Anolis sagrei: one gene and its partners. The protein of the gene in region 1 purifies or fractionates together with the protein of each later gene. This does not show direct contact. Links are inferred from orthologs where the notes say so. Each region holds a gene or a part of one and is shown in the gene's direction. Other genes may lie near its edges. The genes, in order: PRPF3, SART3, PRPF19 and CD2BP2.

Evidence for each region.
Region 2: the proteins of PRPF3 (region 1) and SART3 purify together in Homo sapiens (affinity purification with mass spectrometry; 5 studies listed by BioGRID and IntAct, counting the BioPlex papers as one, with this or other methods). This does not show direct contact. The link is inferred for Anolis sagrei from reciprocal best matches to the Homo sapiens genes PRPF3 and SART3.
Region 3: the proteins of PRPF3 (region 1) and PRPF19 fractionate together in Homo sapiens (co-fractionation; 3 studies listed by BioGRID, with this or other methods). This does not show direct contact. The link is inferred for Anolis sagrei from reciprocal best matches to the Homo sapiens genes PRPF3 and PRPF19.
Region 4: the proteins of PRPF3 (region 1) and CD2BP2 purify together in Homo sapiens (affinity purification with mass spectrometry; 3 studies listed by BioGRID and IntAct, with this or other methods). This does not show direct contact. The link is inferred for Anolis sagrei from reciprocal best matches to the Homo sapiens genes PRPF3 and CD2BP2.

What each region holds. Positions count from the first base shown.
Region 1 is NC_090032.1:6,002,180-6,010,775, forward strand, and holds the start of PRPF3 (U4/U6 small nuclear ribonucleoprotein Prp3), read left to right. Parts: upstream 1-5,055; 5' UTR 5,056-5,178; intron 5,179-8,596. Other genes in the region: MRPS21 (small ribosomal subunit protein bS21m), read left to right, coding at 1,069-1,249. UniProt on the Homo sapiens protein: Plays a role in pre-mRNA splicing as component of the U4/U6-U5 tri-snRNP complex that is involved in spliceosome assembly, and as component of the precatalytic spliceosome (spliceosome B complex).
Region 2 is NC_090034.1:29,968,130-29,975,932, forward strand, and holds the start of SART3 (squamous cell carcinoma antigen recognized by T-cells 3), read left to right. Parts: upstream 1-4,623; 5' UTR 4,624-4,669; coding exon 4,670-4,810; intron 4,811-7,803. Other genes in the region: iron-sulfur cluster assembly enzyme ISCU, read right to left, coding at 2,555-2,659. UniProt on the Homo sapiens protein: U6 snRNP-binding protein that functions as a recycling factor of the splicing machinery. Promotes the initial reassembly of U4 and U6 snRNPs following their ejection from the spliceosome during its maturation.
Region 3 is NC_090021.1:235,751,146-235,758,938, reverse strand, and holds the start of PRPF19 (pre-mRNA-processing factor 19), read left to right. Parts: upstream 1-4,672; 5' UTR 4,673-4,820; coding exon 4,821-4,839; intron 4,840-7,793. UniProt on the Homo sapiens protein: Ubiquitin-protein ligase which is a core component of several complexes mainly involved pre-mRNA splicing and DNA repair. Required for pre-mRNA splicing as component of the spliceosome.
Region 4 is NC_090026.1:16,297,055-16,305,550, forward strand, and holds the start of CD2BP2 (CD2 antigen cytoplasmic tail-binding protein 2), read left to right. Parts: upstream 1-5,114; 5' UTR 5,115-5,237; intron 5,238-8,496. UniProt on the Homo sapiens protein: Involved in pre-mRNA splicing as component of the U5 snRNP complex that is involved in spliceosome assembly.

The sequences.
Region 1 (8,596 bases):
ACTACAACTCCAAAACTCAAGGTCAATGCCCACCAAACTCTTCCAATATTGTCTGATAGTCATGGGAGTTCTGAGTACCAAGTTTGGTTCAATTCCATCACTGGTGGAGTTCAGAATGCTCTTTGATTGTAGGTGAACTATAAGTCCCAGCAACTGCAATTCCCAAATGTCAAGGTCTATTTCCCCCAAACTCCACCAGTATTCACATTTGGGCATATTGAGTATTTGTGCCAAATTTGGTCCAGTGAATGAAAATACATCCTGCACCTTGGTCAAGGTGGTCCTTGCTCAAGTGGTCCCTGATCAAGGTGGACCCTGCTCAAGGTGGACCCTTGTCAAAGTGGTCCCTGGTCAAGGTGGTCCCTGCTCAAGGTGGACCTTGGTCAAGGTGGTCCTTGCTCAAGTGGTCCCTGGTCAAAGTGGTCTCTGGTCAAAGTGGTCCCTGATCAAGGTGGACCCTGCTCAAGGTGGCCCCTGGTTAAGGTGGACCCTGCTCAAGGTGGACCCTTGTCAAAGTGGTCCCTGGTCAAGGTGGATACTGGTCAAGGTGGTCCCTGGTCAAGGTGGCCCCTGGTCAAAGGGGTCCCTGGTCAAGGAGGTCCCTGGTCAAAGTGGCTCCTGGTCAAAGTGATCCCTGGTCAAGGTGGTCCCTGGTCAAGGTGGACCCTGTTCAAGGTGGATCCTGCTCAAGGTGGACCCTGCTCAAGGTGGACCCTGGTCAAAATGGCTCCTGGTCAAGGTGGCCCCTGGTCAAGGTGGTCCCTGATCAAAGTGGTCCCTGATCAAAGTGGTCCCTGGTCAGGTGGTCCCTCGCCAAGGTGGTCCCTCGTCAAGGTGGTCCCTTGACGAACCACTGATCTAGACACTAGACGTCTATTGATGCATCCTAGAATCACATTGGCCTTTTCAGCTGCTGCATCACACTGTTGACTCATGCAGAAAAAATACAGAATAGTATATACATTTAGGGGGTGTTGTTGTTTCTTATTGCGTCTGGAGGGAAGGCAAGTAAGCATCCGACTCGATCTGTGCTCTTTGACAAGGGGTCTCCTTTCTCCTCTTCTCCAGGGTCCTCACCATGGATGGGATCATCGACGAAGCCAAGCGGCGGCGGTATTACGAGAAGCCGTGCCGCAGGAGGCAGCGGGAGACCTACGAAGCGTGCCGGAATATATATAACACGGAAATGGCTCGGAAGATCAGCTTCATCGCACGCAAGAATCGCGCAGACCCTTGGATGGGTTGCTGAACTCAAGGGTTTTCCGTATTGGAGACCTAACAGCGCATTCCTTTTGGTGGGATTGTTTTGAACCCCCTTAATCATCAGAGTATCTTGGTTTCTTTTTACAGTCTGAAAAATGATGACGCCAATAAAGCCCTTGTGAAAAATCACTTGGTGATTGTGGGATTTCTAGTGGGATGTCCTCATGGTGTTTGATTTTTAAGGGGAGCAATTCGTTAAAATTATTTACATACAATATTTATAATATTATAATATAATGCAATATGATACTACTACTGATATATGATATTATAATTGTATATTTATATTCCATGTAATATTAGTAATAATATTACAATATAATGGTATAGTGCAATATAGTAACATTTAGCAATTCGTTAAAATTATATACATATAATATTTATAATATTATAATGTAATGCAATACATTACTATTAATAATAATATAATATTATAATTATATATTTATACTCCATGTAATATTACTAATAATATTACAATGTAATGGTATAGTACAATAAAGTAATTTTTAGCAATTCGTTAAAATTATATACATAAAATATTTATAATATTATAATGTAATGCAATATAATACTACTACTACTAATATAATTATATATTATTATTTTACTAATAATAATTTTAATATAATTATATATTATTATTTTACTAATAAAAATAATATATCATAATTATATATTTATATTCCATGTAATATTACTAATAATATTACAAAATAAAGGTATAGTACAATATAGTAATATTTAGCAATTTGTTAAAATTATATACATAGAATATTTATAATAATATAATATAATGCAATATAATACTATTAATAATAGGATATTTATATATTTATATTCCATGTAATATTACTAATAATATTACAATATAATGGTATAATACAATATAGTAATATTTAGCAATTCGTTAAAATTATATACATAGAATATTTTTAATATTATAATGTAATGCAATATAATACTAATAAAATTAATATATCATAATTATATATTAATATTCCATGTAATATTACTAATATTACAATGGTATAATACAATATAGTAATATTTAGCAAAATTATATACATATAATATTTATAATATTATAATGTAATGCAATATAATACTAATAAAATAATGATATTATAATTATATATTTATATTACATTTAGTATTATTAATAATATTACATTATAATGGTATAGTAATATTTAGCAATTTGTTAAAATTATATACATATAATATTTATAATATTATAATGTAATACAATATAATACTACTAATAATTATTATATTATATATTTATATTCAATGTAATATTACAAATAATATTACAATGGTATAGTACAATATAGTAATATTTAGCAATTTGTTAAAATTATATACATAGAATATTTATAATATTGTAATGCAATATAATACTAATAAAAATAATATATCATAATTATATATGTATGCTCCATGTAATATTACTAATAATATTACAATATAATGGTAAGAGAAAGAAAGAGAAAGGAAGAGAAAGAGGGAGGGAAGAAAGAAAAAGAAGAGAAAAGAAAGACAAGGGAAGGAAGAAAAATGAAAAGAAAGAGGGGGAAGAAAATAAAGGAAGAGGGAGGAAAGGGAAAAGAAAAGGAGAAGAAAGAAAAGGGAAGAGAAAGGGGAGTGAAGAAAGAAAGAAGAGAAAAGAAAAAGGGGAGGGAAGAAAGGAAAGAGGAAAGAAAAAGAAGGAAAAAGAAAGAAAAGAGGAGGAGGAAGAAAGAAAAGGGAAGAGAAAATGGCGGGAAGGAAAGAACAAAAGGAACAAGAGGGAGGGAAGCAAGAAAAAAAGAGGGGAAGATAAAGAATGAAGAGAGAGGGAAGAAAGAAAAAGAAGGGAAGAGAAAATGAAAGGAGGGAAGGAAGAATTAAAAAGATGGGAAGGGAAAGAGAAAAAGGAAAAGAGGGGGGAAGAAAAAGAAAAAGGGAAGGAAGAAAGATGAGAAGAAGAAGAAAAGAGGGAGGGAACAATGAGTAGAAGAGGGAGGGAATAAAGAAGAAGTGAAAGATAAGATAGGAGAGGGGGGCAGAAAGAGAAAAAGATGGGAAAAAACAAAGTAAGGGGGAAGAAATAAAAATAAGCAAAAGAGAAAGAAAGGAGAGGGAGGGAAGAAAAGAAAAAAAGGGAAGAGAAAATGAAGAAAAGGGAGGGAAGAGAAAAAAGGAAAGAAGAGAGAAGGAAGAATTAAAAAGATGGGAAGAGAAACAGAAAAAAGGAAGAGAGAGAAGAAAGAAAAGGGGAAGAAAGATGGGAAGAGGAAAGAAAGGGAGGAGAAAAAAATGAGAGAAAGGGAGGGAAGAAAGAAAAAGATGAGAAGAGGAAATAAGGGGGAAGAAAGAAAATGGAAGCAAAGAGAAAGAAAGGAGAGGGAGGGAAGAAAGAAAAAGGAAGAGAAAGGAAAGAAAGAGAAGGAAGAATAAAAAGATGGGAAGAGAAAAAGGAAGAGAGAGAAGAAGGAAAGGTGGGAAGGGGAAAGAAGGAGGGGAAAAAGAAAAACGAGAAAGGGAGGGAAGAAAGAAAAAAGGGAAGCAAAAACAAAACAAGAGGGAGAAGCAAAGAGAAAGTAAGTAGAGGGAAGAAAGAAATAAAAAGAAAGGAAGAGGGAGGGAAGAAAGAAAAAGAAGGGAAGAGAAGGAAAGGAGAGGGAGGGAAGAAAGAAAAAGAAGGGAAGAGAAAATGAAAAAGGAGGGAGGGAAGGAAGAAAAAGAAGGGAAGGAAGGAGATGGAGGGAAGAAAGAAATAGAAGGGAAGAGAAAATGAAAAAAGGGAGGGAAGAAAGAAAAAGAAGGGAAGAAAGGAGAGGGAGGGAAGAAAAAAGAAGAGAAGGAAGGAAGAAAGAAAGAAAAAGAAGGGAAGAAAGAAAGAAAAAGAAGGGAAGAGAAGGAAAGGAGAGGGAGGGAAGAAAGAAAGAAAAAGAAGGGAAGAGAAGGAAAGGAGAGGGAGGGAAGAAAGAAAAAGAAGGGAAGAGAAGGAAAGGAGAGGGAGGGAAGAAAGAAAAAGAAGGGAAGAGAAGGAAAGGAGAGGGAGGGAAGAAAGAAAGAAAAAGAAGGGAAGAGAAGGAAAGGAGAGGGAGGGAAGAAAGAAAAAGAAGGGAAGAGAAGGAAAGGAGAGGGAGGGAAGAAAGAAAAATAAGGGAAGAGAAGGAAAGGAGAGGGAGGGAAGAAAGAAAAAGAAGGGAAGAGAAGGAAAGGAGAGGGAGGGAAGAAAGAAAGAAAAAGAAGGGAAGAGAAGGAAAGGAGAGGGAGGGAAGAAAGAAAAAGAAGGGAAGAGAAGGAAAGGAGAGGGAGGGAAGAAAGAAAGAAAAAGAAGGGAAGAGAAGGAAAGGAGAGGGAGGGAAGAAAGAAAAAGAAGGGAAGAGAAGGAAAGGAGAGGGAGGGAAGAAAGAAAAAGAAGGGAAGAGAGGGAGGGAAGAAAGAAAGAAAAAGAAAAGAAAGATGGGAAGAGGAAAGAAAGAAAGAAAGAAAGAAAGAAAGAAAGAAGGAGGGAAGAAAGAGAAAACGAAGGGAAGAGAAAGGAAAGAAAGGAAGAAGGGAGGGGAAGGTGTTCTCCATGTGTTTTGGACTTCAACTCCCACCATTCTTTACAGTCTATTAGGATTTGAGGGAGGAAGGCCCAAGTTTGGCCTGACATACAGACTAGGCTTAACTATTGGAAGAAAAGGAGAGCGCCTCCAGCCAATCAGAGCCGCGTCGCCATGGCGACCCCGCTGCGGCGGAAGAGGCGGGGCTTTCCTGGCCGCGGAAGTCCCGCCTCCGAGCGAGAGTAGGGAAAACGTACGCCTCCAGCAAGCAGCTTCCGCTTCCGCTGGGCGACGACCTCGCAGCGCCGTCGAGGGAGCGGGTCTGGAGAGGAGAAGGAGGCGGGAAGGAGGCGGAAGGAGACTCCGAGGACGGGTGAGCCAGGCGGGGAGGCCGCGGAGGCGCCTCAGGGGGAGGAAGGCCCGGCTCCTTCCTGAGGGAAAAGGGGCAAGGCCTGAGGAGCCCCTCAGAGCCGGGCCCTCACCTAAGGGGGGGATGGAGAGGCCTGCCTGGCAGTGGCAGGTTCAGAACGCCTTTAGAGGAGAATCTTCTCTTGTGGGAGACAACCAGGTGCCATTAGTGGGTTGCTGTGCGTTTTCCGGGCCACGTTCCAGAAGCATTCTCTCCTGACATTTCTCCCACAATAATAATAACATCACACAGTCCTAGACACTTGGGAAGTGTTTGACGTGTGATCCAATTCAAGAGCTAGCAGAGTGTCTGCTGTGGACTCATCTTGTTGTGTTTCTAATAATAATAATAATAATAATAATAATAATAATACATCACACAGTCCTAGACACTTGGGAAGGGTACGACGTCTGATCCAATTCAACAGCCACTGTGGACTCATCTTGTTGTGTTTCTAATAATAAATATAATAATAATAATAATAAATAGTCCTAGATACTTGGGAAGTGTCCGACATGTGTGATCCAATTCAACATCCAGCAGAGTGTCTGCTGTGGACTCATCTTGTTGTGTTTCTAATAATAAATATAATAATAATAATAATAATAATAATAATAAATAGTCCTAGACACTTGGGAAGTGTCCGACATGTGTGATCCAGTTCAACAGCCAGCAGAGTGTCTGCTGTGGACTCATGTTGTGTTTCAAATGATAATAATAATAATACATCACACAGCCCTAGACACTTGGGAAGTGTCCGACGTGTGATCCAATTCAGCAGCCAACAGAGTGTCTGCTGTGGAGTCATCTTCTTGTGTTTCTAATAATAATAATAACAATAAATACATAATAATAATAATAATAATAATATTAATAATACATCACACAGTGGTAGACACTTGGGAAGTGTCCGACATGTGATCCAATACAACAGCCAGCAGAGTGTCTGCTGTGGACTCATCTTCTTGTGTTTCTAATAATAATAATAATAATAATATATCACACAGTCCTAGACACTTGGGAAGTGTCTGACGTGTGATCCAATTCAACAGCCAGCAGAGTGTCTGCTGTGGACTCATCTTCTTGTGTTTCTAATAATAATAATAATAATAATAACAACAATAATTCTTTATTGATTAGTCAATTTTGACCATATCAAAACATACAAAACATACACACTTGCCCATACATACAGTAAAACCATATATGAATACAAGGCATCCCGGCCTACTAGCCTGTCAACCCACTCCTAAATGATTGTGCAACTACAAGATAAAAAAAATAAAAGATTAAAAATTGATTAATTCCTTAAAGTAGGGTTTGGGCAGGGGCGCGGGTAGGTAAAACTAGTGGCATGTCCATATTAAGTTTTTAAGCTTGAATTTTGTTGATGGCAGCAAGGTCACCTCTATCTGCTTCCATCTTCTCGTGGATGGCCAGTGCTTTTTGCGTAAACAGGGTCAATTTTAAAATAGAGTTTTAATCTGAACTCTGTAGGAAGATGTGCAATTTCTCCTTATTCTCTAAATGAGTAAATTATAATAATACATCACACAGTCGTAGACACTTGGGAAGTGTCCGACGTGTGATCCAATACAACAGCCAGCAGAGTGTCTGTTGTGGACTCATCTTGTTGTGTTTCTAGTAATAATAATAATAATAATAATAATAATAATAATACATCACACCGTCTAGTAGTAGTAGTAATAATAATAATAATAATAATAATAATACATCACACCGTCCTAGACACTTGGGAAGTGTCCAACGTGTGATCCAATACAACAGCCAGCAGAGTGGCTTCTTGTGTTTCAAATAATAATATAATAATTGAGATGCCAAACGGACAAACCATAAAGTGCAATCAGCCCGAAGCCTATAAATATCTGGGGATACTATAGTTAGACAATATCAGGCATGAGCATGTGAAAAAGTTGGCCACCAAAGAATATATCCAAAGAGTCAGAAAGATTTTGAAGAGCAAGTTAAATGGCGGAAATACGATCAAGGCTCTCACCCCTGGGCCATCCCTGTCATTAGATACACTGCTGGGATTGTGAACTGGACACAAGCAGAGCTGGATGATCTGGACAGAAAAACCAGGAAACTGATGACAATCCACTCCTCATGACACCCGCATAGTGATGTCAACAAACTTGACCTGCTCAGAAAATCAGGAGGCAGAGAGTGGGCTTCTGCAAGTGAAACAAACAGTAGAAGAAGAGAAGCATGCCCTGGCAGATGATGGGAAAGGCAGTCAAGAACCAACATTGAGGGAAGTCAAGAGTAGTAAACCGCTTCAAGTGCAAAAGACAAAGAGGGAATACCGTAAAAACACAATCCAGAGCAGAAGAGAAAACTGACCAAAGAAGGCTCTCCATGGACAATACCTGGGAAAAATTGAGAGCCAAATTGACAAAGAAAAAACATGGCTGTGGCTCAGAAATGGGACTCTGAAAAAGGAGACAAAGGAGGGCCTGATTCTGGCAGTCCAAGAACAAGCCATTAAAACCAAGGCCATCAAAGCCAGAATTGAAAAGTCGACAACAGATCCCAAGTGTAGACTCTGCAAGGAAGCCGATGAAACAATAGATTTCATCCTGAGCTGCTGCAAGAAAATTGCGCAGACAGACTACAAGCAGAGGCATAACACCATTGCTCAGATGATTAATTGGAACTTGTGCCACAAAGACCATCTGCCTGCGACAAAGAACTGGTGGGATCACAAGTTACACTAAACAAACACGTCAAACTCATCTGGGACTTCCGAATTCAGACTGACAGAGTTCTGGAGCAAAATACTCCTTGACGTCACAATTATTATTATTACTACTATTATACTGTGAGCATTTGCATTTAGTTTTTGGTGGCAACATGAGTGGTCACAGGCCGATATGGTTGGTGTAAAGAATGCAGCCTCTCTTTTTTACTTATCAATGGTTCTGTGTAAGTTTTAGGGCCCTTCCACACAGCCATATAACCCAGAATATCAAATCAGAAAATAATAATATATAATAATAATAATAATAATAATAATAATAATAAGAAGAAGAAGAAGAAGAAGAAGAAGAAGAAGGAGAAGAAGGAGAAGAAGAAGAAGCTACTCTGTGACTTCTTGATTCAGATGGACAAGGTTTTGGAGCACAATACTCCTGACCTCACAATAGTGGAAAAAAACAAAGTATAGATTGTCGATGTTGCAATCCCAGGTGACAGCAGGATTGAAGAGAAACAACTGGAAAAGCTGACACGATATGAGGATTTAAAGGTCGGACTGCAAAGACTCTGGCACAAACCAGCCAAGGTGGTCCCAGTGGTGATTGGCACACTGGGTGCAGTGCCTAAAGACCTTGGCCTGCACTTAAACACAATCGGCACTGAC
Region 2 (7,803 bases), on another chromosome or scaffold:
CTGGTTACATCCCGTATAGATTACTGCAATGCGCTCTACGTGGGGTTGCCTTTGAAGACGGCCCGGAAGCCTCAAATGGTCCAGCGTGCGGTAGCCAGGTTGCTAACAGGAGCGGGGCTCAGGGAGCATACAACTCCTCTGTTGAATCAGCTCCACTCACTGCCAGTCTGCTACCGGGCTCAATTCAAAGTGCTGGCTTTAGCCTATAAAGCCCTAAATGGTTCTGGCCCAGTCTATCTATCTGAATGCATCTCTCCCTACGAACCCCCCAGGAACTTAAGATAGTCTGGGGAGGCCCTGCTCTCGATCCCGCCTGCTTCGCAAGCACGTCTGGCGGGGACGAGAGACAGGGCATTCTCTGTGGTGGCCCCCCGGCTGTGGAACTCCCTCCCTAGGGATATTAGATCAGCCCCCTTCCTCCTGACTTTCCGAAAAAGAGTAAAAACTTGGCTCTCCGAGCAAGCATTCGGAACCCCGGAGTAAACAGACAAACTAGAGTTGGAAATTGACCCAGGAACGGCCAAGACAATGTAATCGATGAAGATTTGAATGACAGGACATAGTCTCTTTTTAAATTGTTTATTATGCACTGTCGTTTATGTTTAATTCCACTTGATGTTTTTGCTTTATCAATGTATGTATTTTGTTTCGGCATCGAATTGTGCCGACTGTGTATACCGCCCTGAATCGCCTTCAGGCTGAAATGGGCGGGATAGAAATAATGTAAATAATAAATAACCAGAACGTGAACTACCGTGGCCAAGTCAGACCTCCCAAGATATGGGCACAGCTGGCGCACAGGTTATAATTGTGCGAATGCTCCCCCGGCCACCGCTGAGACCTGGGGTCCCAGGTTCATGGTTGTGCCACATGAAGGCCCACCACAGTCATTCCAAGGATCCACTTGGGCCTATTACTTTCAAGCCAAACCAACCTGGTGCTGCCCTACCAGTTAGGGCTTCCCTTCCACATGGGCAGCCCCGAAAAAGAGGCCTGGCTATTATTTATTAGGGATATTAGTAATATATTTCAGCAAGTGGAAGAGGAACTGTCCTCATCGCAGTCTATGGGCTCAATCTAGATGCAATTAGGAACTATTATCATTAACATAATCATCAGCATTAGAACCATTATCATTATTACCATCATCAATATTATCATCATCATCATCATCATAGTCAGTATTAGTAACATTTTCATTATCATTATCAGTATTATTACCATTATTATTGCTGTCAGCATTAGTACCATTATCATTATTATTACCATCATCATCAGTGCAAAAACTGGGTTGCAGTTAAACATAAAAAAACCAAGATTATGGCCACCAGACTGATTGATAACTGGCAAATAGAGGGAGAAAATGTGGAGACAGTGACAGACTTTGTATTTCTAGGCACGAAGATTACTGCAGATGCAGGCTGCAGCCAGGAAATCAGAAGACATTTACTTCTTGGGAGGAGAGCAATGATCAATCTCAATAAATAGTGAAGAGTAGAGACATCACACTAGCCACAAAGATCCGCATAGTTAAAGCAATTGCATTATATGGATGTGAGAGGTTGACCATAAGGAAGGCTGAGTGAAGGAAGATAGATGCTTTTGAACTGTGGTGTTGGAGGAAAATTCTGAGAGTGGCTTGGACCGTGAGAAGATCAAACCAGTCCGTAGTCCAGGAAATAAAGCCCGACTGCTCACTGGAGGGAAGGATATTAGAGGCAAAGATGAAGTCCTTTGGCCACATCATGAAAGGACAGGAAAACGTGGAGAAGACAATCATGCTGGGAAAAATGGAAGGGGCCAACGAAGGGCAAGATGGATGGATGTTATCCTTGAAGTGACTGGCTTAACTTTGAAGGAGCTGGGGGTGGCCACGGCCGACAGGGAGCTTGAGTTCACAAAGAGTCGGAAGTGATTGAACAAATAACAACAACAACAAACACTATTATTACCATTACTATTATCGTCAGTATTAGTACCATTAACATTATTACCACCAGTATTATTACCATTATACTTATCATCTTCATAATCAGTATTACATTATCATCATCAGGATTACCATTATTATCATCAGTAGTAGTACAATTATCATTATTATTACCATTATCATCAGTATTATTAGCAATATCATCATCAGTATTATTACTATAATTTTTATCATCAATATTATCATTCTTATGATTAGTATTTATTACCATTATCATAACCAGTAGTATTACCATTATTATTATATTATTATGATTGTTATCATAATTATTATGATTATCATCACTAGCATTATTACTATCCCTTTTCTTCTCTCCCAAAGAAGGCTCTGAGCGGCGCATGCGCACAAATATCCTACAAGATGTGTCCAATATCTTTCCTGACCCTAACTAGTTTCCCCGGCCTCCAAAGTGCTTGGGACTGCTGCTCCCAGAATGCTCGGCCACAGGCCAAGGCAGCCGAGGCTTCTGGGACTCGAAGTCCCAAATGCCAAGAAGGGGCTTCCAAAGGCCAGCGAGGCCGAGCTTTCTTTTGGGCCTAGAAGCGGAGGAAGCCTCGGGCTCACCTTCTCGTGGTAGCCCGCGACCAGGGAGGTGGAGGCCGGGCCCGGGCGAGGCCGCAGAAGGGCTGCCGCCGCGCTGCGCACGCTGCTTGCCCGAAGCGCCGCCATCTTGAATGTTTTGAACAGAGGACAGTGGAGGGCAACGGGGGCGTGGCCCCCGGGGGCGTGGCCGCCAGGGGAAGAGCCGCAAGGGCGCCATAGGTCACGCCTCCTTGTGTCGTCACTCCCTTCGCTAAGCCCAGCAAAAGGGGGGGGGGGGGGGGGAAACGCGGTCAGGAGTTAAGCCTTTACCTTCCAGAGGTTCTTTTCTCAAACTTCCAATATTATTATTCCAATAACAATAATTCCAAGTCCCACCAAGTACAGGGTCGAGGTTAATCTTTGTATGTTGTGGATTTTGAACTGTACTTTAATGTTATATTATTAATAATATTATTCCAATATATTAATTTTATTGGGATAATAATAGATTATTAATAATGTTATTTGAATAATAATAATCTTTGTATGTTGCGGATTTTAAATTGTATTTTAATGTGATATTATCATTCTAAGAATGACTATAATGAATGACTCTAAAGAATGACTCTCCCTGCAGACATCAGACAGGCGCCCTCCCTTATGTCCTTCCGAAAAAGCCTTAAGACATGGCTGTTCGAGAAGGCATTTAATTAAGTGCTATAAAAATGTGGTAAAGACGACTGGAAAGGAACAAGGAATATGAGATTGGTTATGATTCCACTATGAGACGAAGCGGATTTTTAGTGTAATTTTTGTAATTGTTGTATTGTTAATATGTTGTTGTAATTGCCTCTTTGTAAATTGCCTTTTTATATGTGTTGTACACCGCCATGAGTCGCCCTAAAGGGCTGAGAATGGCGGTTAATAAATGCATCAAATAAATAAATAAATAAATAAATATAAAATTTTTCCAATATTATTATGATTCTAATAATGATTCCAAGCCCCAGCAAGCATATCACATGAAAATAAAGTTTAAAGTTCACAACATACAAAGATTAACATTCATCGTGTGTTTGCTGGGACTTGGAATTATTATTAATGGAATTATCATTATTAATATTATTAGTAATATTAATTTGAATAATATATTAATAATAATATTCCAATAATAATAACAGTATTATTCCAATATTATTGTACTATTATTATTATTGCATTATTAATAATAATATCACATTAAATTACAATTAAGAATCTTTAATGTGATAATAAATATTAATATTCCAATAATGATAATACTAATGTTCATTCGTTCAGTCGTCTCCGACTCTTCGTGACCTCATGGACCAGCCTACGCCAGAGCTCCCTGTCGGCCGTTACCACCCCCAGCTCCCTTAAGGTCAGTCCAGTCACTTCAAGGATGCCATCCATCCATCTTGCCCTTGGTCGGCCCCTCTTCCTTTTGCCTTCCACTTTCCCCAGCATAATTGTCTTCTCTAGGCTTTCCTGTCTCCTCATGATGTGACCAAAGTACTTCAACTTTGTCTCTAGTATCTTTCCCTCCAGTGAGCAGTTGGGCTTTATTTCCTGGAGGATGGACTGGTTGGATCTTCTCGCAGTCCAAGGCACTCTCAGCACTTTCCTCCAACACCACAGCTCAAAAGCATCGATCTTTGAAACATAACAAGATGAGTCCACAGCAGACAAGATCACTCTGCTGGCTGATATATTGGATCACACGTCATATTATTATTATTATTATTGGAATGATATTAATAATAAAATCACATTAAAGTACAATTTAAAATCCGCAACATGGAAAGATTAAAATCGATCCCATCCTTGTTGAGAGTTGGAAGAATTCTTCTTCTTATTTGATTAATATTGGCATATTTTTATTGTTACTATGCTTCTTTCAAGGGCCAGCAAGCATAGGCTGCCATTGAAGGACAAGGAAACTGACACACTCTTGATGGCCGCCCCGGCATCCTAAGCCGTGCTTCCGGAAAGGACATAGTTTGACCTTCCTTCAAGCCCCCAAGCAGAGGCGTCTAACGGACCGCTTGCTGGAAAGATGCAGGCGGCCAAAACAGTCGCGTCATTTCCCGTCAGGCAGTGGATTAGACAGCTGAAAGGGCTTAACGGCGGAGAAAGATGGCGGACGGCGGCGAAGCTGAGGCGTCGTTGTGGGCCGCAGGAGGCTCGGAAGGGGACGAGGAACTGGAGTCCGAAGACTCCTCGGAGGCCGACGAGGAAAAGGAGAACCAGGCTGAAATTCAGCGCTTGGAAGAGCAGGTGAGGGCCCCGGAGCGGGGCTTCGCGCGGGGCGGGGCTTCGCGATGGGAGACCACGCCCCCTGAGGAAGCATGGCTTGCATTGCATCCAACTTCCAATGCCTCCTTCTGTTTGATGCAGGTTTTCAATGTCATGGTTTTTTAAAAAAATATGCCTCAATCTAGAGATCAGAGATATAATAGTATGAATAATGATATTAAAATATAACTAATAATCATATATAAATAATATATACATTTAATGGATAACCTTAATAGCCTTATATTTTACAATATTAATATAATATATAAAATAATATAAAAATAATATAATTATACATGTTATCTATATAATATAAATGTAAGGGGAATAGTATGAAGGCTGGGTCTGGAAGCTCAGAGTGTTACACTGTTTCCGCTTTGCTCCTTCGGGAGCGCTGTTTGCGCAACGCAAAACGGAACACAAATATTATAGAAGGCATGTAAGAGTTCTTTAATGGTATTTATTTATTTATTTATTTACTCGAACCCTAAACCTTACCCTAACCCAAACCCTAAACCTTACCTTAACCCTAATCCTAATCCTTACCTGACCCCAAACCCTATTCCTAACCCTTACCTTATCCTAACCTTCCCCTCCATTCTATCCTTCCACCAAATGTAACTACGAAGTATAGTCCCACCCTCAGTGTGCCGATCTCCCCTTCCCTTATTCACAACCGCCATTGCGGAATGTGCGTAACGCTCGGAGCTTCTGGACCCAGCTATCATACTATCACCAATGTAAGTATAATAATATGTATATAAATATCTATAAATAATATATATATATATACATAATGTATATAAATACATAATGTAATTATATACATTGTGTGTGTATATATATATTATTTTATTTACTGCATTTTTACCCCACAATACCTCCACTATCTCTGTGTTAGACTACATAGAGAAGCCATTGAAATCCACAAGAAGCACGTGAACAATTTCAACAGAAAGAAAGAAACCATGAATATGAACAAAATCAGGATACAAGTATTAAAACACTCTGAAATCAGGACAGTAAATAAAGAACAACTCTAATAAACAGGGGAAATCCAGAAAGGAAGCAATCAGGGTCAGCAAACACCTCCCAACCAGGCAGGAAGCTGCCAGGATTTGAAACTGCTATTCAATGCTAATCAAGCTGGCAAGTGGCAACATTCACACTTGCCTCAAACAGTCAAGAGTTCTTTCTCCCACCTTGGACATTATTTCACAGATATACAGGGTGAAGCACCATAACTTCCTTTTTTCAAAACTTAATAAAACCCATTGTATGAATCAGAATTTTTTTATAATGTAGGTGCATACCTAAAGTTTTGTTTTACGTAGTTTTGAAGATCAAATTAGGTAGGTGATGTCCCCCATTCTCCATACACTGAGTAAACTGATTTCTAGCATTTGTCATGACTCTTGCCAGCATAGCAGGCGTTATGTTGGCAATTTCTTCCTGGATGTTGGTCTTCAAATCTTGTAGGGTCCTTGGAGGGTTCACATAAACACGGGATTTCAAAAAACTCCATAGAAAAAAAATCACAAGGGGCCAAATCTGGAGAGCGGGCCAGCCCCTCCAAATCCCCCCTAATTGAGATGAGGCGCTCTGGGAAGTGTTCCCTCAAAACAGCCATAGATGCTTTTGAATTGTGTTCAGTTGCACCGTCTTGTTGGAACCAAATGTCCCCTAAATCCAACCCATCTAGCCTTAGGAAAAAAATTCCTGTAACATGTTTACATACCAGTCCGAATTAACTGTCACTGCAATTTCATTTTCCTCAAAGAACCAGGGACCAATAATTCCAGCTGAGGAAATTGCACACCACACTGTGATTTTAGGTGAATGCAAAGGCTTTTGATGCAATTCTCGAGGATTGTTGTCAGCCCAGTAGCGCATGTTTTGTTTGTTGATGGATCCACACAAATGAAAATGGGCTTCATCACTAAAAAAACCCCAATAGTGTCCTCAGGAATGACTTCGAGAAGAACCTCACACGCGTTCCTCCAAGAATTGAAGTCATGTTCAGAAAGTTCCTGCACAATCGCCATCTTGTAAGGATGGAAATGAAGATCATCATGAAGAATTCTCCTCACAGAACGATCGGGAAGTCCAAGGGCAGACGCATGTTTGTGCGCAGAACGCCGTAGTGATCGCAACATTGAAGCTCTCACTGCCTCAATGTTCTCAGGTGATCTAATGGGCCGAGGGACTCCAGTTCTTTGTTTTGTCGCACTTGCAGTTTGTCTGAATGTAGTGACCCACGTCACAATTGATTTCCGTCTGGGACAGGGGCCAATGGGGCTAAATTAAAGCGAATCCGAAAGGCGCGCTGGGTTGCGATCACAGAACATCCGCTCGAAAAGTAGGCCTCAACGGCAGAAGCACGCTCCTCACTGTTCCAACGCAGGATGGCGACTGAACTGTGTCAGGACAAAACTTTATACTCCCGCCTCTTGAATGAGACCACTAGCGCTCCGTTACGTCTTCAACCGACTGAATGGCACGCATTTTAAAAAAGGAAGTTATGCTGTCGCACCCTGTATAAACCCTACTTGCCTAGTTTTCAACAGACCTCACAACGTAAGAGGATGCCTGCCATAGATGTGGGCGAAACGTCAGGAGAGAATGCTTCTGAAACATGGCCAGGCAGCCCGGAAAACTCATAGCAATCCAGTCATTCCAGCCATGAAAGCCTTCAACAGCACATGGCATGGATTTCATCCTACTTCCATTGCCTCATTCTCTTTGTTGCAGTTTTTAAATGTCATTGTTTTTTCTTTAACTGGCTTTGGTCCCCGGCATTGCCCGGGTTATTTGAAAAATTGTACAAAATTCATGAGGTTGTGGGTAAACTACAACTCTCATCATGCCAGGTTAACCCCAAAAGCTCAATCAGTACTTAAAGTTTGTTATGTTGGGCAAGTTTGCTCTAAATGCATCACGGGTGGGGTTTAGTGTGCTCTTTGGCTTTAGGG
Region 3 (7,793 bases), on another chromosome or scaffold:
TGAATTGACACCAAATTTGGACAAAATACACCTATCAGGCCAACGAGTGACCAACACTCATAAAGACACTGGAAACACAGTGGAAGAGACTTAAAATGCCAAAAAAATAAAAATATAATGCACACACAAAACCACATATACACAGACTGGGCCTCAGCAATGCATGGCAGGGGATGGCTAGTGTAATAATAATAATAATAATAATAATAATAATAATAATTACAATAAATCTTTATACCACGCCACCATCTCCCCAAGGGGACTCAGGGCGGCTTACATGAGGCCAAGCCCAGCAATACAGTGAAACAATATAACACAGTAACACAGCAAAAAATAAAGAAAAAGAAAAAATGAAGTACAAGAACCAATATAAATAAACACATCAGACAATATAAAATCAGAACATTCGAACATAGAAAATTGATCACAGTGGGCAGGGCCAATTGCAAAAGATAAAAAAATTTTAAAACTCTGGGTGAGAGATCAATGTAATGTATCAGGACAGGGGATCCGGAGGACAAAGTAGGGTTTGATTGCACTAGATGCAGTCTCAGTTCTTCCTCTCAATTCCCCAAGTTTTGCTTTTTTGTGTTGTCAAAGGCTTTCATGGCCATAATCACTGAGTTGCCGTGGGTTTTCCGGGCTGTATGGCCATGTTCCAGAAGCATTCTCACCTGACATTTCACCCACATCTATGGCAAGCATCCTCAGAGGTTGTGAGGTCTGTTGGAAACTAGGCAAGTGGAGTTTATATATCTGTGGAATGTCCAGGGTGGGAGAAAGAACTCTTGTCCGCTTGAGACAAGTGTGAATGTTGCAATAGTCTTGCAGCTTCAAAGCCTAGCTATTTCCTGCCTGGGGGAATCCTTTGTTGGGAGATGTTAGCTGGCCCCAATTGTTTCCTGTCTGGATTTCCAGCTATGTCTCTGTGTGATAGGTAATGCTGTTTTATGTATTGTGTTTAATAATGTTTATTTTTTTATTAGAGGAGGGCCAGTTTTAATGTTTTATACTGTTTTTATCGATGGCATTGAATTGTTGCCAACACACAACCGCCCTGAATCCCCTTCGGGATTGTGAAGGGCGGTATACAAATATCACAAATAATAAATAAATAATATCCCCTGGTTTTTTTAGTGTTTTGCCCACATCTGTGGCAGCTAACACAGGCAAGGGCAAACTTCTGCCCTCCAGGTGTTTTGGACTTCAATTCCTACAATCCCTAACAGCCGGGGGGGGGGGGGGGAGTTGAACCAGCTGTGGGAGTTGAAGTCCAAAACACCTGGAGGGTTGAAGTTTGCCCATGCCTGAGTGGATTCCTCCAGGCAGGAAGCAGCCAGGCTTTGAAGCTGGAAGGCTATTCAATGCTAATGAAACTGGCCAGTTGCAACATTCACACTTGCCTCAAACAGACAAGAGTTTTTTCTCCTACCCTGTACATTCCATAGATCTATAAATCCCACTTGCCTAGTTTCCAACAGACCTCGCAACCTCTGATGCCTGCCATAGATATGAGCGAAATGTCAGACCATGCTTCTGGAACATGGTCATACAGCTCAGAAAATTCACAGCAACCAACACTTTGCAAGAAAAAATTTGCAAGAAAGAAATTGCAAGAAGGGAGTGGAAAGCAAATATAAAAATGTAAACACTGTGCATTTGTTTTATTTACTTATTTTGTTTTTTATCCTGCCTTTCTCCTGATATATAATGATAAATAGGGTACAATGCAAGTTAAATAAATGTAAATGAATTAAAATATAAGTATATAAAAACACGATTAAACCCTTTGTGTCATCAAATATAAAAACATTAAAATACATTACAAACTAAATCCCAGTCACCTTACACCCAGCAGTCCACCTTTAATCATTTCTTATAGAGTCAGATTTATTTAATTTATTTTTTTTTAAAAAAATCTGCTCTAATCCTTTCCCTCCACTACGTTGTGCATTTGATGAATTTTGAGGAAACTCTGATCCATATAATCTTAAGAGATTGTCTCTATGTATAAGTGCTCTGTGGTTTGTGTCATCACCATCCGGGCTCAAAATTGGTTACAGGACTTCCTATGTAATCGTCTGCACAGCAAAACCAGTTTGTTTGTTTTTTCTTCTTTTAAAAATCTTTTTGCTTTTTTATTGTAATGTATTCATAAATTACTCATCCACAATCCTTCTTGGACGTTTGGTGGTTTAAATTCGCCATTGCTTTTACACATGAAACTAATAAATGGTTTCCAGGTTTTATCAAATAGATTTTCTTTCAATTCACTTTTTTGCTAATCTTAATTTATATATCTTAATTTATAAATTAACTTTTCTTATAGAGTTATCACCCACATCCCGTTTAACCAGCTCTTTATTGTCAGATCCTCTAACTTTTTTCCAGGTTTTCACAATTTTGAGTCTTGTGACACATAACAGGAGTAGTATTTTTTTATTATTTACCACAGAACCTTATTCTCACTTTTGAATACCCAAATCGGTACTGTTCCATTATCCAGACAAAGGCCACCAGGGGGCAGTAGAGAGAGAAGGATAGTCTATTTTATGGGGAGGGGGGAGTTGAAGGAGGAAAACCACTTCCCCCATTTTGCTGGTTATTCCCCCTCTCTCTTTCCCCACTCCTCCCCCCAAATGGACTATCCTTCTCTCTCTAGTGCCCCCTGCTGGCCCCCGCGTGCATAATGAAACAATACCCAGAAATCATTTATAGAGCTCCCCTGAAGTGAAGTTTCCCCACTACTTGGCTTATGCATGATAGCACTTCCTCCCAGAATCTCCATACTTTATGCACATTAGCCACATGTGGCTCCAATCCCATATTACTCTCCAGTATGGGATCCCATATTACTCTCCAGTATGGGATCCAATATTATTCTCTGATCCCATATTACTCTCCAAGTAAAGATTCTATTGATTTTATGTAGTTTGAGTGGATAATGGTACCATCTATGCATAATTTTCAGAGTATTTTCTTTCAGTTGTGCTGAAATTGATATATAAGATTGGATTTTCCAAACTGAGTTCCATTTTCTCCTCTATTTAAACCCTAAATCTAATTCCCATATTAATCTCAATCCATTCAATGATCCAATTTTGCTTCCTGAATTGTCTGACATATTTTTGAGACTTGACCTTTGGTTTATCATTGCAGATTTATTCAAATTACAGTGCACTTGGGGGTGGGGACTTCATTTCTGATTATTGCAAGCATTTTCTTCAATACCAGTTTGACACTGCATTAAATGGTAAGTGTACTTGGGACCCCCAGTTCATTTAAGAAGGGTGACATTAGTTGGTTGCTGGGCTTGTAGTTTAGGGGAGGGGGCCTTTAAATGCTCAGCCAGAGAGGTCCTGGGTCTCACTGAACTACAACTCCCTGTGTATGTAAGCCTCCTTGAGTCCCCTATGGGGTTGAGAAGGTGTATAAATGGGACAAATAAATAAATAACGCCTGGAATTCTGCAGGAGGCAGCACAAGATTTCAGATGCTTTGCCTACTCTTTAAGCTCTAGTAATGCCATATACATAGGGCCACCATAAGTCGAACTCAACTTGACAGCAGCCAATTCCCCATGCAGACCTCTCCTGATTGTTGTTGTTCATTCGTTGTCGTTTCTGACTCTTCGTGACCTCATGGAACAGCCCACGCCAGAGCTCCCTGTCGGCCGTCACCACCCTCAGCTCCTTCAAGGTCAATCCAGTCACTTCAAGGATCCCATCCATCCATCTTGCCCTTGGTCAGCCCCTCTTCCTTTTTCTTTCCATTTTCCCCAGCATCGTCTTCTGTATGCTTTCCTTTCTTCTCATGATGTGGCCAAAGTACTTCATCTTTGCCTCTACTATCCTTCCCTCCAATGAGCAGTTGGGCTTTATTTCCTGAAGTATGGACTCCTCAGATCACAACTGTGAATTATAGAGTGCAGCTGCATGTAGAAATTTCATGTTTTGTAGTCTAGAATGCTGAGAAGCTGTAATTTTAGACCTCGAGTTAGGGCAAACAAGCTCTTTCTACCTTCTACATCTGGATGGGATCCTTATTATCCAAACACAATTTCAACTAAAATTCTACCCTTCTTCCTTTGTTTCCTTAATGCCTCTGTAAAAAGGGGGAAGGAAGATTCAAGAGGCAACTGAAGACATAGGCCTAATGTTTAAATCCATGCATGTACGCGCCTTCAAACCACCTCATAGATTTCGCAGGTTTCTTCTTGGTTTGGCCAGTTCTTTCCTCTGAGATATAACCTACGGTGCCTGGTATTCCTCGGCGGTCTCCCATCCAAGCACTAACCAGGGCTGTCCCTGCTTAACTTCAAAGAGGTTGCTCCCTCTGGTGTATTATTTGGCTCTCTGCAGGATAATGATAATAACTGCCTTGGCTAAAAGCTATAGGTATCTGGGCTTTGTCTTTTTGTGAGAAATCCACTCTTCTCTGCCAGAGAGCTTCTTTGCCACAACAAACTTCAAATCCCAGAATTCTACGGGATTGAGCAATTTCAGTCAAACCCGTGTCAAGCGCTACAATTCGGTCGTGCGGCTCCCCTCTAAGAGGCGCTCTGTGTCCGCGGTGCATGCTGGGAGCTGTAGTTGACGGAACGCTCAGCCCAAACCGGAAGTACTCGCGTGGGACCGTTAGGCCTTGCGGCTTTGGCAGCGCACGTGACGAGGAAAGTCGGAGGGGTCCATTTCCGGCCGGGGCAACCTTCTCCCGCGCGCGCTGCAGCTCGAGTTGAAAGGCGACCGGAAGCAGAACCTTCCCCTTCGCTCTAGTGGCCCGGAAGCAGCCGTAAGGCCCATGTCGAGGAGGCGCTCGCCATGTCCCTCATATGCTCCAGTGAGTGAACCGCTTTCATTCCCCTTTCGGCCCCACTCTGTGTCTTGTCTCCCCTTCATAAAGTCGGCCGAGAAAAGAGTGCCAGGCAGGGCTATTCTGGTTTAAGAAGAGTGATGGGAAGGCAAAGCGGGCGCACTTGGGGTGCATTTCCATAGAGACTTGTGAAAAGGTTACGCGGTTTGCCTCGTTCTTTGTGTCCGTTTCTATGGAGGCCGAGCTCCCAGGCACTTCGGCTGCTTTGCTGCAGCAAATGGGAGGTTTGCTCTGGAATTCCCGCCTGAATGGATGAAGGGCTCCGTACATTGGTCGAAAAGGGATCAAGGCAACTCGAATTGTTGATTTGGGGCAATGAAAGGCTTATACTTGCGTCGGGTTTTCTGCTCTTTCCACTCCATAGCCCTTAATGGGCATTGCTCTGTTTTAAGCCCTGTATTTCCGAGGGGGTTTTGTTAAAAAGAGCAGCTTTTCTCAGGTCTCCACGTGCATTTGTGGTAAACATGAAATTTGAATTAGGGATTTCTATATTGGGCTTCTATTTGCAATGCTTCTCCTATTCTCATCTACATTGTAGAATTAATGTATTTTGAGACTGCTTTAACTGCTATGGTTCAGTGCCAAGGAATCCTGGGAGTTGTAGTTTGGTGAGGCAGCATCACTTTGGCAGAGAAGGGCAAAGGCCTTGTAAAACTACAACTCCCGTGATTCCATAGCATTGAGCCATTGCAGGTAAAGTGGGGTCAGACTGCATTACTTCTTCGGTTTAGACCAGTGTTTGCCAGTCTTTAGTCCTCCAGGTGTTTTGGACTTTAGCTCCCACAATTCCTAAAAGCCAGTAAACTGGCTGGGATTTCTGAGAGTTGAAGTCCAAAAAACCTGGAGGACCAAAAGTTTGGGAAACACTGGTCTAGATGCAGTCAAAGTTTCTTTGGGATTTCTCTGACTAGTATTGGGTTCTTTTATAATCCTGCACATGGTTTTTCTGAGGTCCTGCTGTGTCTACATACGTATCTCTCTGTGTATATATACACATGCACACACATAAACTTGGACTATGACTCTGGAGACCAGGGTTCGAATCCATGAAAACCCACTGGGTTATCCTGAGCCAAGCACACACTTTCAGCCGACTGACCTTTGTGATACGGGCCTCTTCCACACAGCTGCTTTGAACTGGGATATATAGCAGTGTGGACTCAGATCACTCAATTCAAAACAAATATTGTAGGGTATTCCGCCTTGTTATTCTAGTTTATTTGGCTGCGTGGAAGGCCCACAGTCACAGAAAATGACTTGAAGACACACAATAACAAAACTTTAGCCATAATGATCTAGGTTTTAAGCCTAAATAGTTTACTAGTCCTGTTGAAGCTATGGAGCTGTTACAAAAGAGAGGATGGATACTTGTTTTCTGGTCCCTCCAGGACAGGACAATCTAGTCCACATAAGTTGCAGGAGGGAAGTTTTCAAACTTGACTCTTGGGGAAACTTCTCACTGATAAGAGCAGTTTGATAATGAGAATGATTTCCTAGATTTCTGGGGTGATACTATTAGTTGTGCCAGGCAGCAAGGAGCCATACAGTCCTAGCATGTTTTTTCTAGTTCTTGTAGCCTGCAACCACAGTAGATAAAAAAATACTTATGCTGAATGATATCATCTTATTAGTGAAACAAAATCAGTAAGATGAGGGACTCTTTTTTGCTGGCAGTCCTCACCGAACTGGAGAGCTATTTTTGAGGATGCTTTAGCTCTAGAATTCCTACATGAGTGAATTTAGTGAGGAACTGGGTAGCCCATAAGATTCCCTTCCATTGTTATAAACAAGAATATCCTTGGTATTGGTCTTAATTGTCTGGTTGATGCTTAAATAGCTTGCTGATTGTCATCTTGCAAGCATTGTCCTTCTTACCTTTCACTTCATTAAAAATCCACATTTTTCTCTGATTTTCAGACATAGAGATGCCATGGGACAAGATAGCTTTCTTTGTCAAAGGTTCATTTGAAGAGGATTTTTTTCATCTGTTTATTTTATTTTTTCCTACCTTTCTACCAATATAAGGACATAAGGTGGTTAACAATAAATATAAAATCATACCAATAAAACAGTTCTAACCCATAAATAAAAAGTATAAACATAAAATTAAAGAAACAACAAGATTCATGTTACTACAATAATTCCCATTAAAATATTAAAATGTGTGTGTGTAAATATAGTTCTTTATGTATTTTCAACTATTAACTAATTAATAACTAGCATGGTGTAGTAGTGGTTTGAGTGTTAGACTAGGACCAGGGTTCAAATTCCTGCTGGGCGATGGAACCTAACTAGATGACTTTGGGCAAGGTTTATTCTTTCAGACAAAGAGAGAGTAGAAAGGGTTTGGCACTTCTTTTAGGTTATCCCGGGACAGACTACATTCTTACCTTTTGCCACTACTGAGAGAAAAGGATGCTCCCCCCCTTTTAAATTGCATTTAAGGTACAGTGTTTATGTTGACTTATATGTATGTCAACTCAGTTTTGGGGGGATTCATCTTTTTAAGTAAAGTTTTTAGACTTATGTGTGTGTATATGTTATAAAGCAACATTGTCTGAACAGCTGTGCTGGCATGATTTCTTACAGATAGAGATTGATGACTTACCCCAAATGGGCAGATCAGTGCATTGCTGTTTTAGAGTGTTGAATGAATACTTGAAAGGGACTTTGTAGTGTAGTTCCATACATTGTTGTTTTCATATGCCCTTATTAAATATCTGTTGTTCATCAAAAAGCTCCAATATATGAGGAAGGACCATTGCCTTCAAATGAACCTCAAATAGCTATTCAGGGATGTGTGGCAATATTACCTGGTGATAGTTACGTGTAAGAATAGCCTATGGGCCCCCTGCATTCATTGTGTGGAAATAGATTGTGTGAACCTCCTTTATCTCAAAACTAAGCTCAACAGTTACTAG
Region 4 (8,496 bases), on another chromosome or scaffold:
AAGCGAGAGCAAAATTAAAATTTATGAGGGTGGGAGAAAGCAGGAGAAGAGGAACAATGTTAGATACAGCTCATCCATTTGAAAGTGGAATTTTAAAAACCAAGCAAAAATACTTGAACAAAATAGAAGAACAAATAAATGGAAATAAAGTTGTGGAATGAGCAAACTAATAGTGACATGCAGGCATAAACAGACAAGGGTCTTGAAAATAAACTTTTAAATAAGTTGTAGAATTAAAAGAAGGGTGATGTTTAGGAAGATTAGTGTTTGAAACCAGGAGAGATGAATGAGAAGAATGTGTGGATAATGGGTGGAAGAGTTCGAGAATGAAAACATGGAAAATTTGATCTCAAAATATAAAGTTGAGAGACAGAGATGTAAGAAATAAATTCCTTTTTTAGTTGACGTAAGTTGATGAGAGCAGGGTCCCTGGCAAATTCTGAGCCAGTTTTTGAGGATTTTTGAGACATTGAATGCCCCTTACCTTTGAAAGTCAGCTCTTCCCCTTAAGACTTTCCTTCAGGTCACTCCACTTCCTTCATTGCTCCACAAGAATAGTTTCCCAGGTGAAGAGGAGGGGCTTGCATTTACCTGCATTTACCTGCCATCCAGGTAGTGTTAGAAGTCACTTGATCCCGTGTTCCAGGAAGGCTGGAGGGTAAAGCAATCACACAGTTTGATGACAGCGTCTTGACTGTTTCTCTCATGTTGCTCTCCAAAAGCAGGAAGAACAAGCAGCTCTAGAGAAGAGGAAGTAAAAAAAAACAAACCCCTAAATGTGTACTGGAATATTTTTTCAAGCAAAGTTTTCTTTGGTCCTAAAGAACCCTATTTCAAGAAGTGAATGAAACTGTTGTTAAGAACAAATTGTTGTGGGAAATGTAGAGCAAAAGAAGCTTAATTTGAGTTGATACTGGACTCTATAAAGCAGCATTTTTCAATCTGGGGTTCACAAGGGGGGGTCAGAGGGGTCGCCAAAGACCATCAGAAAACACAGTATTTGTTGTTGGTCATGGGGGTTCTGTGTGCCGAGTTTGATTCAATTCCATTGTTGGTGGAGTTCATAATTCTCTTTGATTGTAGGTGAACTATAAATCCCAGCAACTACAACTCCCAAATGTCAAGGTCTATTTTCCCCAACCTCCAGCAGTGTTCACATTTGGGCATATTGAATATTTGTGTCAAGTTTGGTCCAGATCTATCATTGTTTGAGTCCACAACGCTCTCTGTATGGAGGTGAACTACAACTCCAAAACTCAAGGACAGTGGCCACAAAACCCTTCCAGTATTTTCTGTTGGTCATGGGAGTTCTGTGTGCCAAGTTTGGTTCCATTCCATTGTTGGTGGAGTTCAGAATGCTCTTTGATTGGAGGCGAACTATAACTCCCAGCAACTACACTCCCAAATGACAAAACCAGTCCCCCCCCCCCCCCCCGCAAGCCCACCAATATTCAAATTTGGGCATATCGGGTATTTTTGCCAAATCTGGTCCAGTGAATGAAAATATATCCTGCATATCAGATATTTACATTACAATTCATAGTACTCACAAAAGTACAGTTGTGAAGTAGCAACTGAAATAATGTTATGGTTGGGGTCACCACAACATGAGGAACTGTATTAAGGGTCCGTGGCATTAGAAAGGTTGAGAAACACTGCTATAAAGGATTACAATTTGTCAGAACCCATCTTTGGTATCATATATTCTTTAGACTGTTGTCAATTAATAACAGCTTGGTGATTTGCATGGGCAGGAACGATTTGATGGTGCGTTGTATCGTTTTAGGAGAGAGAGATGTCCAGTTCCATTGCTTTTCTGAGGCTTCTGTGGGTAGATTTTTATGAAATTTAAAAGAAAGAAAATAACACAAAATACGTTGTGCTTGTCTATGGAGTTTCCATTTAATCTTTATAATTAAACACTGCTGCTTCTAAGGTCTAGATATATTTCCTGGATGTGCCACTGCTTTTAATGCTGCCTCCAAAGCAGCTTGTGGCAGTAAACTCTTTAAACAGAACACATGCCATAAAATAACCTTGGCTCAACAAAGTTTTAAGCATAAAGATATAATTTCTCCTTAATGTTTAAATTTGAAATAATGCAGTTTAGGTTTAGTGTCTGGGAAACTGAAATGCTCCAAAGACCCAAATTGTCCACCTGGGGGCTGGGATGCCGCACCTTTGTTTTCAGATAGTTCAGTGTGCAAAGGCTTTATTGCATCAAACAATAATTCAAAATTCTGTGCATAAAGTTACCTCCGGGCTATGTGTTTATGGTATATGCCTCCCTAGTCAACTTTCAGTCATGAATTTTGATTTACATTCTATTGCTACTATCACTCATCTTCAATGACATGACTGCATGGAGTGCCCTTACCTTCCCTCTGAAGTGGTACCTGTTGATCTACTCACATTTGCATGTTTTCGAACTGCTAGGTTGGCAGAAGCTGGGCCTAACAGCGGGAGCTCATCCTGCTCTCTGGATTCAAACTGCTAACCTTTTGGTCAGCAAGTTCAGCAGTTTAACCTGCTGTGCCACTGGGGGCTCCTATGTTGTGTCCAGAAACTGTTTATTATTGCAGATTTATTGATTGCTGGTTGTTATCCTCTTTTATATTATTATTGTAAGGTTGTTTTATTTTGTTTATGTTGTTGTTGATGTATTTTAATGTGTTTTATTTTAACTATTTTGATCGGGCTCATCCTCATGTAAGCCGCCCTGAGTCCCCCTCAGGGCGGCTTACATTATTATACGTTAATAATTATACGTATTATTAACGTATAATAATAAAGTTATTATTATACGTTATTTTTATTGTGTGTAACTATGTCTAAATACGGGAGCCCTTGGTGGCGCAGTGGGTTAAAGCGCTGAGCTGCTGAGCTTGTTGACTGAAAGGTCGCATGTTCAAATCCAGGGAGCAGCGTGAGTTTCCCCTGTGAGCCTCAGGTTCTGCCAACCTAGCAGTTCGAAAACATGCAAATGTGAGTAGATCAATAGGTACTGCTCCGACGGTATGGTAACGGCACTCCATGCAGTCATGCTGGCCACATGACCTTGGAGGTATCTACGGACAGCACCGGCTCTTTGGCTTAGAAATGGAGATGAGCACCAACCCCCCGAGTTGGACACAACTTCAATGTCACATTGAAGATGAGTCTGCATGTTTTCTGCTGCTCTGGAGACTTAGTGCCCTTCCAGGCAGGCCTTCTATCCCAGGATCTGATCCCAGGTTTTCTGCTTTAAATTGGATTATATAAATCCACACTGCCAGATAATCTGGGATAAACAGAAAACTTGGGATCAGATCCTGGGATATAGGGCCTGTCTGGAAGAGCCTCAAGGCCCCTTCCACACTGCGCCTATAAACCCAGGATATGATCCCAGATTACCTGCTTATCCCAGATTATCTGGCAGTGGAGACTCATATAATCCAGTTTAAATCAGATAATCTGAGATCAGATCCTGGGTTAAAGGGTAGTATAGAAAGAGCCTCAGGGCCCTTCCACACAGCCATATAACTCAGAATATCAAGGCAGAAAATCCCATTGTCTGCTTTGAACTGGGTTATCTGAGTCCACACTGCCACATATTCCAGTTCAAAGCAGATGTGGGATTTTTTGAGCTGTGTGGAAGAGGCCTCAAACATGGAGTAATGAATTCAAATGGCAGGAAAAGAGATAAGGAAGGACTCGCTAAGAGTAAGAGTTGTTCCAACATGTGGTGGAGGCTCCTTCTTTGGAGGTTTTAAACAGAGGTTGGATGACCATCTGTCTGGGGTGCTTTGAATGCAATTTTCCTACTTCCTGGCAGGGAGTTGGACTGGATGGCCCATGAGGTCTATGTTTCTACGTTGCCCGGGAGTGTGGTGAAGTCTCCTCCTCTGGAGGTTGGATTGGATGGCCATCTGTCAGGAGTGCTTTGATAAGTATGCATTCCTGCACAGAATGGGGGAGTGTAGTGAAGTCCCCTCCTCTGGAGGTTGGATTGGATGGCCATCTGTCAGGAGCGCTTTGATAAGTATGTATTCCTGCACAGAATGGGGGAGTGTGGTGAAATCTCCTATTCTGGAGATTGGGTTGGATGGCCATCTGTCAGGAGTGCTTTGATAAGTATGTATTCCTGCACAGAATGGGGGAGTGTGGTGAAATCTCCTATTCTGGAGATTGGGTTGGATGGCCATCTGTCAGGAGTGCTTTGATAAGTATGTATTCCTGCACAGAATGGAGGAGTGTGGTGAAATCTCCTATTCTGGAGATTGGGTTGGATGGCCATCTGTCAGGAGTGCTTTGATAAGTATGTATTCCTGCACAGAATGGGGGAGTGTGGTGAAGTCTCCTCCTCTGAAGGTTGGATTGGATGGCCATCTGTCAGGAGCGCTTTGATAAGTATGTATTCCTGCACAGAATGGGGGAATGTGGTGAAGTCTCCACCTCTGGAGATTTGAATTGGAGGGCCATCTGTCAGGAGTGCTTTGATAAGTATGTATTCCTGCACAGAATGGGGGGATGTGGTGAAGTCTCCTCCTCTGAAGGTTGGATTGGATGGCCATCTGTCAGGGGTGCTTTGATAAGTATGTATTCCTGCAGAGAATGGGGGACTGTGGTGAAGTCTCCTTCTCTGGAGACTTGAATTGGATGACCATCTGTCAGGAGTGTTTTGATAAGTATGTACTCCTCCACAGAATGGGGGAATGTGGTGAAGTCTCCTCCTCTGGAGATTTGAATTGGAGGGCCATCTGTCAGGAGTGCTTTGATAAGTTTATATTCCTGCACAGAACGGGGGACTGTGGTGAAGTCTCCTTCTCTGGAGACTTGAATTGGATGGCCATCTGTCAGGAGTGCTTGGATAAGTATGCATTCCTGCACAGAATGGGGGAACATGGTGAAGTCTGGAGGTTGGATTGGATGGCCATCTGTCAGGAGTGTTTTGTTAAGTATGTATTCTTCATAGAATGGGGTTGCACTGGATGGCCCTTTTGGGTGTCTCTTCCAACTCATAGGATTCCATTGAAACAAACGAGTCCTGTGCCTTTAAGGCTTGCCCGCACTGGCCTCAGCAGCGCTGCTCAGTTCTAGCGAAGCCACAGGTTGCCAGGAGCTGACGTCACTTCCCATGCGCCAAAGAGGGGCAGTCCTCTAGCCGTCCTGTTGTGGCATCGGCTTCGAATGGTGGCAGGACCCGGATGTTGATTCCTTCCCAGTGAGAGTTGCCTGCGTGCTGCAGAGGCGCAGAGGTGAGAGTTGGCTCCATAAGTTTTAGGGGGGAGAGGGGATTTGCATATTGTCATTAGCAGAGGCCAGGAGGGAGGACTAGGCCTTGGGGGCTTCCACACCACCCCCCATTAAAGAGTGGCAGGGCTTTCTCTAGTCAGATCTATGTCTGCATAGTATATAATATTATTAGGACATGCATGGGCAGAGTTGGGCCTTTGAGGGGTTTTGGACTCCAACTCCCACCATTCCTAACAGCTTCAGGCCCCTTTATTTTCCCCCTCAGCCGCTTAAGCGGCTGAGGGGGAAAATAAAGGGGCCTGAAGCTGTTAGGAATGGTGGGAGTTGAGTCCAAAACCCCTCAAAGACCCAACTCTGCCCATGCCTGTATTAGAAGCATAGACTTGGAAGGGACTATAAGAGCCATCTAGTCCAGCCCCCTGCCATGCAGGAAAAGCACAATCCTGTTGGAGCAGAAAGAAAATCAACATCAGTCCTCTTGGCTAGTTCTCCTGACAAAATATATTAGGAGCTGTGGACTCCCGACTCGGTATCCGAACCTCTTAAAAGAGCTAGACCCAAAAATAGTTGCTCAACGAGTATTGGATATAGAAGGCCAAAAAGACATTGCTACCCTCAGTAAAGCTGGCTCATTGAAATGGTTAAGCCGCTTTAAACACACTTTCCAAACAGCTCGATATCTAAAAACAGATATGCCAAAACACCTTAGGAGGGTATTTACCAGAGCTCGTTTTGAGCAGCTGGATTCAATGGTCAAGCACGGAAGGTTTAATCAGGGCCCATACAACGAACGAGTTTGTATTTGCGGAGCATCAGAGGTGGAGGATATCACACATGTTCTGCTCAACTGTGAGCTGTATAAGAAAGAGAGAGACCATTGCCTTGAACCATACATTATTCACAAAACACACTGGGACCCACATATTAAAACTTCATTTTTGTTGGCCGGCCAGAATCCTAAAATAACACACAAAACAGCCCTTTTTCTATTCAAAGCAACACAGCTGAGAATTGCACATTTAGAATCAATTGGGGTAAACTGTGGAGGTGACACAGATATTTGACCTGAACGGGATCTGCCAACAGTTTGTTTATTTTAACCTCTTTTATTTTAACCTCTCTTATACCGAGGGTTGTATGTTGTATGACTATGTGTTAAATGTGTTATGTGTTAAATGTGTTATGTGTTAAATGTTTTGATACGGCCAATAGGCCAATCAATAAAATGTATCTATCTATCACAATCTAAGCATCCCCGACAGATGAGAATCCAGCCTCTGTTTAAAAACTGCCAAAAAAGGTTTCTACCACACTATTGTTGTTTATATTATTATTATTATTATTTCTTATTCTTCATACCAGCCTCTTCTCATAGATCTAGACAGAGAACAACAATCTATATAAATAAAAATGTAATGTTCGTTTGTGGGATTAACATAACTCAAAAACCACTGGATGAATTGACACCAAATTTGGACACAATACACCTATCAGGCCAGCAAGTGGCCATCACTCATAAAAACACTGAAAAATAGCAGAAAAGACTTAAAAAGCCACTAAAAATTACATTACAACGGATGCACGAAACCACATATATATGGAAACACATATATACACATGTACACAACTATATACACACACATATATGCCTATTTACACACACAAAACACATATACACAGAAAGGGGGAAAGAAGGAAGGAGAGAAAGAGGGAAGGAGAGAAGGAAGGGTAGAGGAGAAAGGAAGGAGAGAAGGTAATAAAAAAGTGAAAGAAGGGAGGGAAGAGAGAGAGGGCAAGGAGAGAAAGAGGGAGGAAAGGAAGGAAATAAGGAAAGAAAGAGAGAAGGAAGGATGGAGCCAAAGAGCAAAGTAAGGGAGGAAATAAACAGGTAGAGAAGGAAGAAAGAAGAAGGGAAAGAAAAAGAAGGGAAGGAAGGAGGGAAAAAGGAGGGAAGGTTGGCCACAGCAACGCGTGGCGGATTCAGTTAGTCTATATAAATAAAAATGTAATGTTTGTTTGTGGGATTAACATAACTAAAAAAACAACTGGATGAACTGACACCAAATTTGGACACAATACACCTATCAGGCCAACGGGTGACCATCACTCATGCAAACACTGAAAAATACAACGGAAGGGACTTAAAAAGTCAAAAAAGCAGAACGACGCTACAGCACATGGGCAAAAACAATTCCACCTGGCAAACAAAACACACAATAGCATATCCAGACTCTCTTTTGGACTACAGTTCCCAGTATCACCTAGACCCGGCCCTTTAGAAGAGGAGGATGATCCAAATGCACTGCTTCCAACCTGCAAGCTTTCTTCTCCTCGGATTTCTTTGAGAGCATCCCAATCCCTGCGTTTTTCCAATTTCCTATTCCTGGACGGCAACTCCTCCAGATAGATAGATTACATAGAGATGAGTAGGTAGGTAGATAGATCGATCAGGAGGACTGCTGGGAGTTACAGTCCAAGAATAGGTAGAGAAGAAAGAACTGTGTCTCCTGCCATTTAACTCTGCTGATAATCATTGTTTTCAGTAGTATCAAAGAGAAAAGAAAAAACTTTTGATTGTTCACTTTCCCTATACCATGCACAATTTTGTACTTCACCTGTTTTCTAACCTAAACCTATAATTTTAGGGGTGTTGTTTCTGCCCTTTGCATCATTGGAACATCCCTTTTAAAATACACTTTTTACCTTTAAAATATTCTGTAAGGCATAAACATGCACTGACTATAACTGTATTCAATAAAAGTATTTGCTATACCTTACCCTACTATGCCATTCCAAGTATAAAGTACCATACATTTCTATAATGGGTTGCTGTAATTTTCTTGGGCTGTATGGCCTTGCTCCAGAAGCAGGCATCCTCAGAGAGTCCTCACAACCTCCGAGGATGCCTGCCATAGATGCAGGCAAAGTGTCAGGAGAGAATGATTCTGTAACATGGCCATACAACCCAAAAAACTTACAGCAACTCAATGATTCAGGACATAAAAGCCTTTGACAATACATTTCTATAACGACTGTATAGTTTTATTTTTTATTCATTTTCTAACAAATACAACCAGCTTATATTAAATTTGGATAAAGGTGGGAAGATTGCACAAGTCTGCCAGAGGGAAAAACTGTTTAAATTATTGCAGCTCTATTTAATTTATTTTTAAGGGCTGAAAAACCCGATCGAATTGCTGTGCCACACATCATTCTTTCACATATTTACTATTTTTATCAATTCAGTTGTTACTCTGTTTT